Linked DNA regions of Coturnix japonica. The protein of the gene in region 1 purifies or fractionates together with the protein of each later gene. This does not show direct contact. Links are inferred from orthologs where the notes say so. Each region holds a gene or a part of one and is shown in the gene's direction. Other genes may lie near its edges. The genes, in order: DDX41 and RNPS1.

The links.
Region 2: the proteins of DDX41 (region 1) and RNPS1 purify together in Homo sapiens (co-immunoprecipitation; 3 studies listed by BioGRID and IntAct, with this or other methods). This does not show direct contact. The link is inferred for Coturnix japonica from reciprocal best matches to the Homo sapiens genes DDX41 and RNPS1.

The regions. Positions count from the first base shown.
Region 1 is NC_029528.1:11,995,253-11,999,157, reverse strand, and holds the start of DDX41 (probable ATP-dependent RNA helicase DDX41), read left to right. Parts: upstream 1-1,250; 5' UTR 1,251-1,350; coding exon 1,351-1,374; intron 1,375-1,453; coding exon 1,454-1,552; intron 1,553-1,625; coding exon 1,626-1,785; intron 1,786-1,867; coding exon 1,868-1,942; intron 1,943-2,162; coding exon 2,163-2,223; intron 2,224-2,836; coding exon 2,837-2,973; intron 2,974-3,200; coding exon 3,201-3,273; intron 3,274-3,443; coding exon 3,444-3,597; intron 3,598-3,701; coding exon 3,702-3,838; intron 3,839-3,905. Other genes in the region: protein FAM193B, read left to right, coding at 1-499, 680-755, 840-936. UniProt on the Homo sapiens protein: Multifunctional protein that participates in many aspects of cellular RNA metabolism. Plays pivotal roles in innate immune sensing and hematopoietic homeostasis.
Region 2 is NC_029529.1:12,010,446-12,014,350, reverse strand, and holds the start of RNPS1 (RNA-binding protein with serine-rich domain 1), read left to right. Parts: upstream 1-1,402; 5' UTR 1,403-1,585; coding exon 1,586-1,587; intron 1,588-3,905. UniProt on the Homo sapiens protein: Part of pre- and post-splicing multiprotein mRNP complexes. Auxiliary component of the splicing-dependent multiprotein exon junction complex (EJC) deposited at splice junction on mRNAs.

The DNA.
Region 1 (3,905 bases):
GGCGATGGGCAGAGCCCGGAGCCCAAGGAGGGACCGCAGCCCAAGGGGCCGGAGCCACAGGAGCAGGTGCAGGCAGGGGGCCGGCAGCGGAAGAACAAGCGGCAGAGCGGGCAGGTGAAGAAGGGGGATGGTGCTGTGGTGCTCAGCGGCCAGGCCAGGCTGGAGAACTCTGGTGTGAAGGGGCAGGTGCTGGGAACCAAGCACCCTTCGAAGCCCAGCACTGCAGAGCTGCAGCGGGCGGGTGGCTGCACTGAGGTGGAGAGTGGCAAGGGGCAACCCTGGGGCTGCAGCACTGCCAGAGCGGAGAAGGAGAAAAGCAACGATTGGAAAGGGAGGAGGGCTGAGGGCAAAGCTGAGCTGCCGGATCTGGTGCAGCTGCCCACCCCGGCCAATGGGGACCGGCAGCTGCCTCCCCCCGCTGCCCTGGGAGGATCCCCCCAGCCCAAGGGCAAGAGCAGGAAGAACCGCAACAAGGTGGAGAAACCCAATACCTCTATCGGTGAGTGCCAGCAGCTCCGCTCTGCACCTGTGGCCCTTCCCCAGCCCTTGTCCTGTCTGCTGCCAGGTCCTGCCCTGTTGTGTGTGGGGTCCCATCCCTGGCTCTGTCCTGCTGGTTGCAGTGGGTTTTAGGGCTGTTGCCATGTTGTGCTGACCCTGTGCTCTGTGCTCTGCTCTCCAGATGACGTGTTCCTGCCCAAGGACTTGGATGGTGCGGAGATGGACGAAACCGACCGGGAAGTGGAGTATTTCAAGAGGTGAGGAGGCACCTGGTGGTGTTGGGGCTGTGCTGGATGTTGTGGTTGCTGTCACTCACTGTCTCTCTGTTGTGTCCCGGGCAGGTTCTGTTTGGACTCTGCCAAGCAGACGCGGCAGAAGGTGGCTGTGAACTGGACCAACTTCACCCTGAAGAAAACCACTTCCAGCGCAGCGCAGTGAGGTTGCGGGGCCGCCCCCTCCCCATCCCCGCTCCGCTCCTCACTGTGCCCCGTCCCCCCCCGGGTGCCCCCGGTTCTCCTCTATGGGGTTCCTCGTTCGAACACCCCGGTGCTCTCCTGCCCCGCGGGGCCCCCGGGGCTCCCCCCCCATCCAGCTCCTGGTCCCGTCCCGCGGAGCAGCCCCGTGCTGGACCCAATAAAGAACTTTGTAATTTTTTATTTTATTTAACCCCGGCCTCTGCTGCTTTGTTCGCCGGGCGGTTCGCGTTGTGCTGAACGCGTTGTGTCGAACTTTGTCCTCTGTGGGGACCCGTAGGGCAGCTTCTCCCGCGCGGAACGGGCCGACGCCATACTTGTTATATGTCACTTCCGGCTCGCCCGTTTTACATCCGGGTCAGCGGGGCTCCCGGGAGCCATGGAGCCGGGCGCGGAGCGGAAGGTGCAGGCCCGGCCCAGCCCGGCCGCTGACGGCCAGCCCCGGCTCCGCCACCCCCCGCTCACTGTGTGTCCCCCAACAGAGGCAGCGCGAGGAGGCGGCCGATGGATCCGACATGTCGGGGGAGGACGACGAGGACTATGTGCCCTACGTGCCGGTGAAGCAGCGCAAGCAGCAGATGGTAACGGAATAACGGGGTGACGGGGGTCGGGTCCGTCCCGGTGCCGCTCACTCACCGCACGGTTCTCGTCCAGCTGCAGAAGCTGCTGCAGATGCGGCGCAAGGTGGTGGCGGAGGAGGAACAGCGCGACAGCGGCAGCGAACAGCGAGGGGACGAGGATGACATCCCGCTGGGACCGCAATCCAACATCAGCCTGTTGGACCAGCACCAGCACCTCAAGGAGAAGGCCGAGGGTACGGCCGGTATTGGGGGGGCTGAGCTGGGGGCTGGGAGCACCGCGACACTGTGGGGTTGTTTGTTGTTACCTCTGCACAGCACGGAAGGAGTCGGCCAAGGAGAAACAGCTGAAGGAGGAGGAGAAGATCCTGGAGAGCGTGGCAGAGGGACGAGGTGAGAGCTGCCATCACTGTGTGCTCTGTGGGGATGGAGGAGGAGGTGACAGTGAGCATCCTCTGTTAGCAGCCAGCTGCCTGGCTGCGCTGGGGCTGTGCAGCTGCAGGCACCGAGCTCCAACAAGCTGTACCACATGTACTGCCTTGCTCTACTTGCTCTGCTCTCTGTGGGCATGGAGTCAGAGCTTGCACTGATCTTATTGGCTTTGTTTTTGCAGCTTTGATGTCAGTGAAGGAGATGGCGAAAGGCATTACATATGATGATCCGATTAAAACCAGGTGCGCTTTGCAGCGTGGGGGCTGTTTTTCCCAAAATATCACTTCCTTACAGCCGGCAGCAGCTGGGGGCCATACAGCCTGGGAGGAAAGAACTGCTCTGTGAGGCCATACAGCCTGGGCTGTATGTGAGTATGTGAGGCCATACTTCCTTGGCTTCCTGACTGCTTGCTACTCTATGTAAATTAAAAGACTGTGGAGTCACTTTGGATCTTATTACCCATGCAATAAGATTTATGTATGCATCTATGTAAAATGTGAAGGCTTGAGCTCAGTCTTCAGACAAAGAGAACAAGACTGGGAGAGCTCAGGGAGTTTGAGACGGTACCATGGAAATAACAAAGATGGGTCTAAATGATGTTGGCATGTTTTACCCATTATCTGTAGGCTGCTGTTGTCTATTGTATTGATGCTTCATACTTGGACCTTGGGGAGATGTTTGTTGTGTATGACTGGCTTGTGTCTGCTCATGTGCTCATGAAACCCCTTGAGGTCAATGTTTTCCTCTGTGGGATTTCAGAGCCCATTACGGAATTCTCATCTTCCTTTATTGGGTTTGCTGGCTCTGGAGCTCTGGAATGTTTTACACTCTGAACTTCCTCTGTTGATTTCTTAGCTGGAGAGCACCTCGTTACATCCTGGCCATGTCAGAGGCTCGGCACGATCGCGTGCGTAAGAAGTACCACATCCTTGTAGAGGGAGAAGGCATCCCACCTCCCATCAAGAGCTTCAAGGAGATGAAGTTTCCAGCAGGTGGGACCGAGGGTGGATTTTTCTGGGGAGACTCATGTCCAGCAGTGAGTGAAGCTGTTGGATCTGTAATGATCTGTTAGCAGTGTCCCAGCTTAAATTCACAACAGGGATTGTATCAGGTGGTTGCTGACCCAAGGGTCATTGCTCACTGGTCAGAGGGCTGTGGCTGAGAAATGAATTAGAGGGAAAGCAGGTTGTGAGTATGTGTATCCCGTGCTCTTTAACAGCGATCCTGAGGGGACTGAAGAAAAAAGGAATCCAGCAGCCAACACCTATACAGATTCAAGGCATCCCCACAATGTGAGTACTTTGTCCACGTCCCAGATTTAGGCAGTGTTTTTTTTGCTTCCAGCCCCACCCAGTAGCACCAACTGTGTGTTTCCCTCCACCCTCATTCACCCTGCTCAGATCTGGTGCACTGAGCCCTCCTTGTAATGCTCCTGCCCACCACTGGCCTGTTTCTCTGATAGCCTCTCAGGAAGGGATATGATTGGCATTGCCTTCACTGGTTCTGGGAAGACTTTGGTGTTCACCCTTCCAGTTATCATGTTCTGCCTGGAGCAAGAGAAAAGACTGCCATTCTCTAAGCGAGAGGGACCCTATGGACTCATCATCTGTCCTTCTGTGAGTTCTTGTGGGCACAGAGCGTGGGAGGAAGCTCACTGATGTTCAGTGACAGTTTCAGGTGCTCCCTGTGTGGAGAATTGAGGTGTTTTTTCTCTCTGCAGCGAGAGCTGGCCCGGCAGACCCATGGCATCATTGAGTACTACTGTCGCCTGCTGCAGGAAGACAGTCTGCCCCCACTGCGCTGTGCCCTCTGCATTGGGGGAATGTCTGTTAAGGAGCAGATGGAGACAATTAAACAGTGAGAACTTGTGGGGAGGGTCCTGTGGGGCTGAAACCTGGCTCTTTATTTCTAGCAGGGGACTGAG
Region 2 (3,905 bases), on another chromosome or scaffold:
AAAAAAGCTGAAGTGGACAAATAGTGAGGATTTCCTCGGGATTCATCTAGAATGGATGCAGATGAGCAGCATAAAGGTGCTGGAAATAGCCTCTAAGCAGACAATGGCTGCCAGGGTCGCCCTGTGAGTGGTGCTGCCCTTCCAGGCAGACTCCTGGCAGCACACACAGCCTGCAGCTCCTGTAGCTCTGCCCCAGCTCACCCAGTCTTCCTAAGGCCCAACATTTAATCCTAAGGGTGGGAAGCGTGTCCTCACTGGGGCTGCAAACTCCAGCCTGAATACTTCACCTTGCCCCTCGGATGAGCACATAACCCCTCACCCAAGCAGCAAATGCCTGACATCTCTCAGCCTACAAGGGACAGGCCAGCAGCCCTGAAAGCGCTTTGCTGGAAGCAGCACGGAAGTCTCCAGCTTCAGGAGGGCAGTGCATGTTAGACTTGCTTGCGGAAGTAGCTTTAGAAGCAGCACACGCAGCAGCCTGCGCTGTAGAAGTAGCAGTAAAATGAAAAGATCCTGTGAACACAGGGAGGAGCTCAGAGATGCCTCTGCTGCAGCACATACACGGCTGAGCACAGCTCAGCACAGCTGGGTGCTGGCACAGGCTGGGGACAGCCAACAACCTCACACCTCCCATGGCCATCCAGGCACCGGCAGTTGGGTACCCTGGCCTTGCTTCAGGGTGCCTGGAAGTCTTCCCAAGGCAGCCTCCAGCAGCACGTGTCTGTGTGCACAGCAGAGTCAGCCCGTTCCTTGTATGAACCATGCGTGATCGGAGCAAAACCAATAAACACTGAGCTCTTAGTGCCTCCTGCCTGCTGGAACTGCTGACCTGAGCCTCTGTGCTTCACCTCCCCACGTCCCCTCCCACTCATTCCATGTCCCTGGTGGCACCTTGGCCGCCTCCACGCAGCCTTGGCTGCGCACAGTGCCCATGTCACCAGTGGGACGTGGTGCAGTGTCTGTCACCTCAGCCATGATGTGGAATTACCAACAGCAACAAGTACAAAACCACGACACCCCCCAAAGCAGTGGGAGCTCAAAGCTTTCCCCTCGTGCTGTGGCCCATTAAACATCATTAACTATGAGCGTAAATCCGCTTCTCCCACCCCAGTGTCATCCCCAGAAGCGCTGGCACTTGGTCTGCTGTCCCATGCAGCATCTCAGCTGAACCTCCATCTGTTGTATTCTCTGGGGGGCTGGTGGCCATTCCAAAGCTGCACCCACACCCACTGAGATCTTATTTCCTTTAAGAGCCAGTTCAGCCCTTGCTGTGCTCTGCTGGAGCAATAGGGAAAGGCTCACGTCCAGCTGCTGACACTGAGAGCCAGCTATGCATTGGGAAGGTCACCATTCGTCAGGAGCCATCACGGACATGATGAGGCGGACATGGCGGTGCCCATAACGGCACGGGCCGCCCACAGACCGTGACAGCAGGACAACATGGATCCCCTGCCCGGCCCCTTTAAGGCGCCCACCTCCCCTCCTCCCCCCTGGTGACGTCATCACTGCTCGCCACACGTTCGCTCTTCCCGCTCGTTCTGCGCCAATCGCGCGCGCCGGGCCCGGAGCGCTGAGAGCGCCGAGGATGTGAGTGTGTTGGGGCTGAGCGCCGTGCGGCCATCGGCCGCCATCGGCCTTTCATCCGCCTCCATCCGCCTCCATCCGCCCCGCCGCCGCTTCGGGGCGGCACCGCCGCATCTCGGGGCTGCCCAGGGGAGCGGGCGGGAGCCGACGGAGGGGATATGGATGGACGCGGGGGATAGGGATGGCGCCGCGGCCTACCGGGGGCGGGGAGGAAGGCGGGAGGCCGGGCCGGGGCGGAGCCGGGGCTGAGGCCTGCAGCGGAGTTGGGGCCTGGTGGTCCCGGCGCCCGGCAGCGGCAGAGCAGCGAGTCGGGAGCGACCCGCGGGTCTCGCTGTGCCCGGCGTCGTTCCGCAGCCTGAGAGCGGCTGAGCCCCGGCCGCTCTGGGCCCCGCGCTGCCATGAGCTGGGCCGGGGGCGTTGAGAGGAGCTGCCGAGCGGGCTGACCTTAAATCACGCGAGGAAAACTTTGCTATAGTTGTTGTTCATATAACTATAAACAAGCTGCCGTTGCAGGGCGCGCCTGCCCTGCAGGAAGGCTGAGGGAGAGCCCAGGTCGTTGCCTTGGCTGCAGCTCTCTGTAAGAATAGGTCTCATAGCTGACTGTGTGCAGGGAATGGGCAGCTTAATAGAGTGCCCCGAGGCCGGCTGGGCTGGGCTGGGTGCTGCACAGACACTGAGATGTTGGGGATGTCGGGTTTGGTTTCCATTCTTGGAAGGGTGGATGTTGCTTAGAAGTTCCTTGTGTTGTTTTAATGTGCTCATGCTGCGGTGTTATTCTTTATGGAGGTGTGTTTTAGTGAATGCCTGAGCACCTACAAGTGAAAGTGCCCAGAGGCTGCATCTCCCAGGCTGATCTTTCCAACTAAAACTGTCCTGGGAAAGGTCTGTGTTCATTGGGTGAAAGAAGAACACTGGTTACCTTAAGGGCTGCCTAAAAGCAGCCTTTCACAGGAGGTTGCTGGATGTGTAAGCAGCATTTGGCTGTTTAGTCTGGTAAGTGCCAGCCCTGTGGGTGCACACAGGAGTGCTGCTGATGGTGCTGTTTACATGCAGCTCTTCCCAGCTCTCCAGCAGCAGGCAGGACATTAGCAAAGCACTTGTTGGGCTTCTGAGCTCTCACTTCCCATCTTGCAGAGAGGTGGAACTGGGTGATCATTAGAGTATGTGATAGATGCAGCCCTCTCATAGGAAATGTTTGGAATTGAGCTGTCAGAGTTCAGGTTTTACATGTAAACAGTTAATAGTTACACATGCAGCACACTGGCACACACGTTCATTCTCTTCCAATAACTCATTAATGTATGTTCGTGTTCCTCTGGGCATGCACAGTTACACTGAGGGTGGTTGCTGGTTGTATGCCCACTTACTTTGTCCCCATTTTTCCACCATCAGTTCCATCACTGACATTTTTGATTCACCTGGAGCTGGTTTTCCCCAATTTTGCAAACGTCCATTGCTTCTTAGGCCATAATGGGCAACTTCCAAAACAACGTGTGTGGAAATCCAAGGAAAGCGTCCTTGCCCCTGGTGAAATACAATGACCAGTGGTCTGTCGTGACTCCAGTGCTGCTTATGAAGGGGAATTGAGAGAAAACAAGGCTGATCACACACCAGGCAAAGCAGAAGTGGAGAGTTTTAGGACTAGTGCTCATTGATTCCTTTTGCTGAATTAATATATTGCTCCTCAAACTAATATACTGATCTCTGTTGCTCAATGAACCAGCCTATATTGTTACTCAGCAGCCATCTCTTCCTGCCAAGCATGTGCTTTGCTGCACAGGGTGACTATGGAAGAAACCAGAGCTTCCTCTGGAGATGAGGATGTTGTCAAGAGGCAGGAGCTGCATGTGTGCCGTGTGTAGGAGATGAATGTCCTCTGTGTGCCTTCAAGGGGAGCACATAGCGAGGGTCTTTTGTACTTCTGTGAATATCACAATTTGTAACTTTAAACACGCATACAGGTCTGTATTCCATGAAGGTTGAGCTGGCCCAGGGGCTGGATGTAACTGCCATGCAGTGCTGTGCCTGGCTGCAGTGCCCTGGAGAACACACTTGTCCTCTGGTGTGCTGCCACTGGTGCACAGCAGCTCTGCTCTTCTGTGTCTGTTCATCTTGTTTCTGAACACTCTTACCTTGTCACTTGGCTGCTCTGTTGCTTTCAATTAGGGGTCACTTCTCAGAAGCAAGGGGTTAGAACTGAGATTTGGCACAAGTGAGGCCTGTTTTGCTTTGGATACCTCTGAAGGGGAAACAGAGTTAATGGGAATTAAAAAGAAGAGTTTGCTGGGTCTTAAAGAAAATAACAAAAAATCCAGCACTAG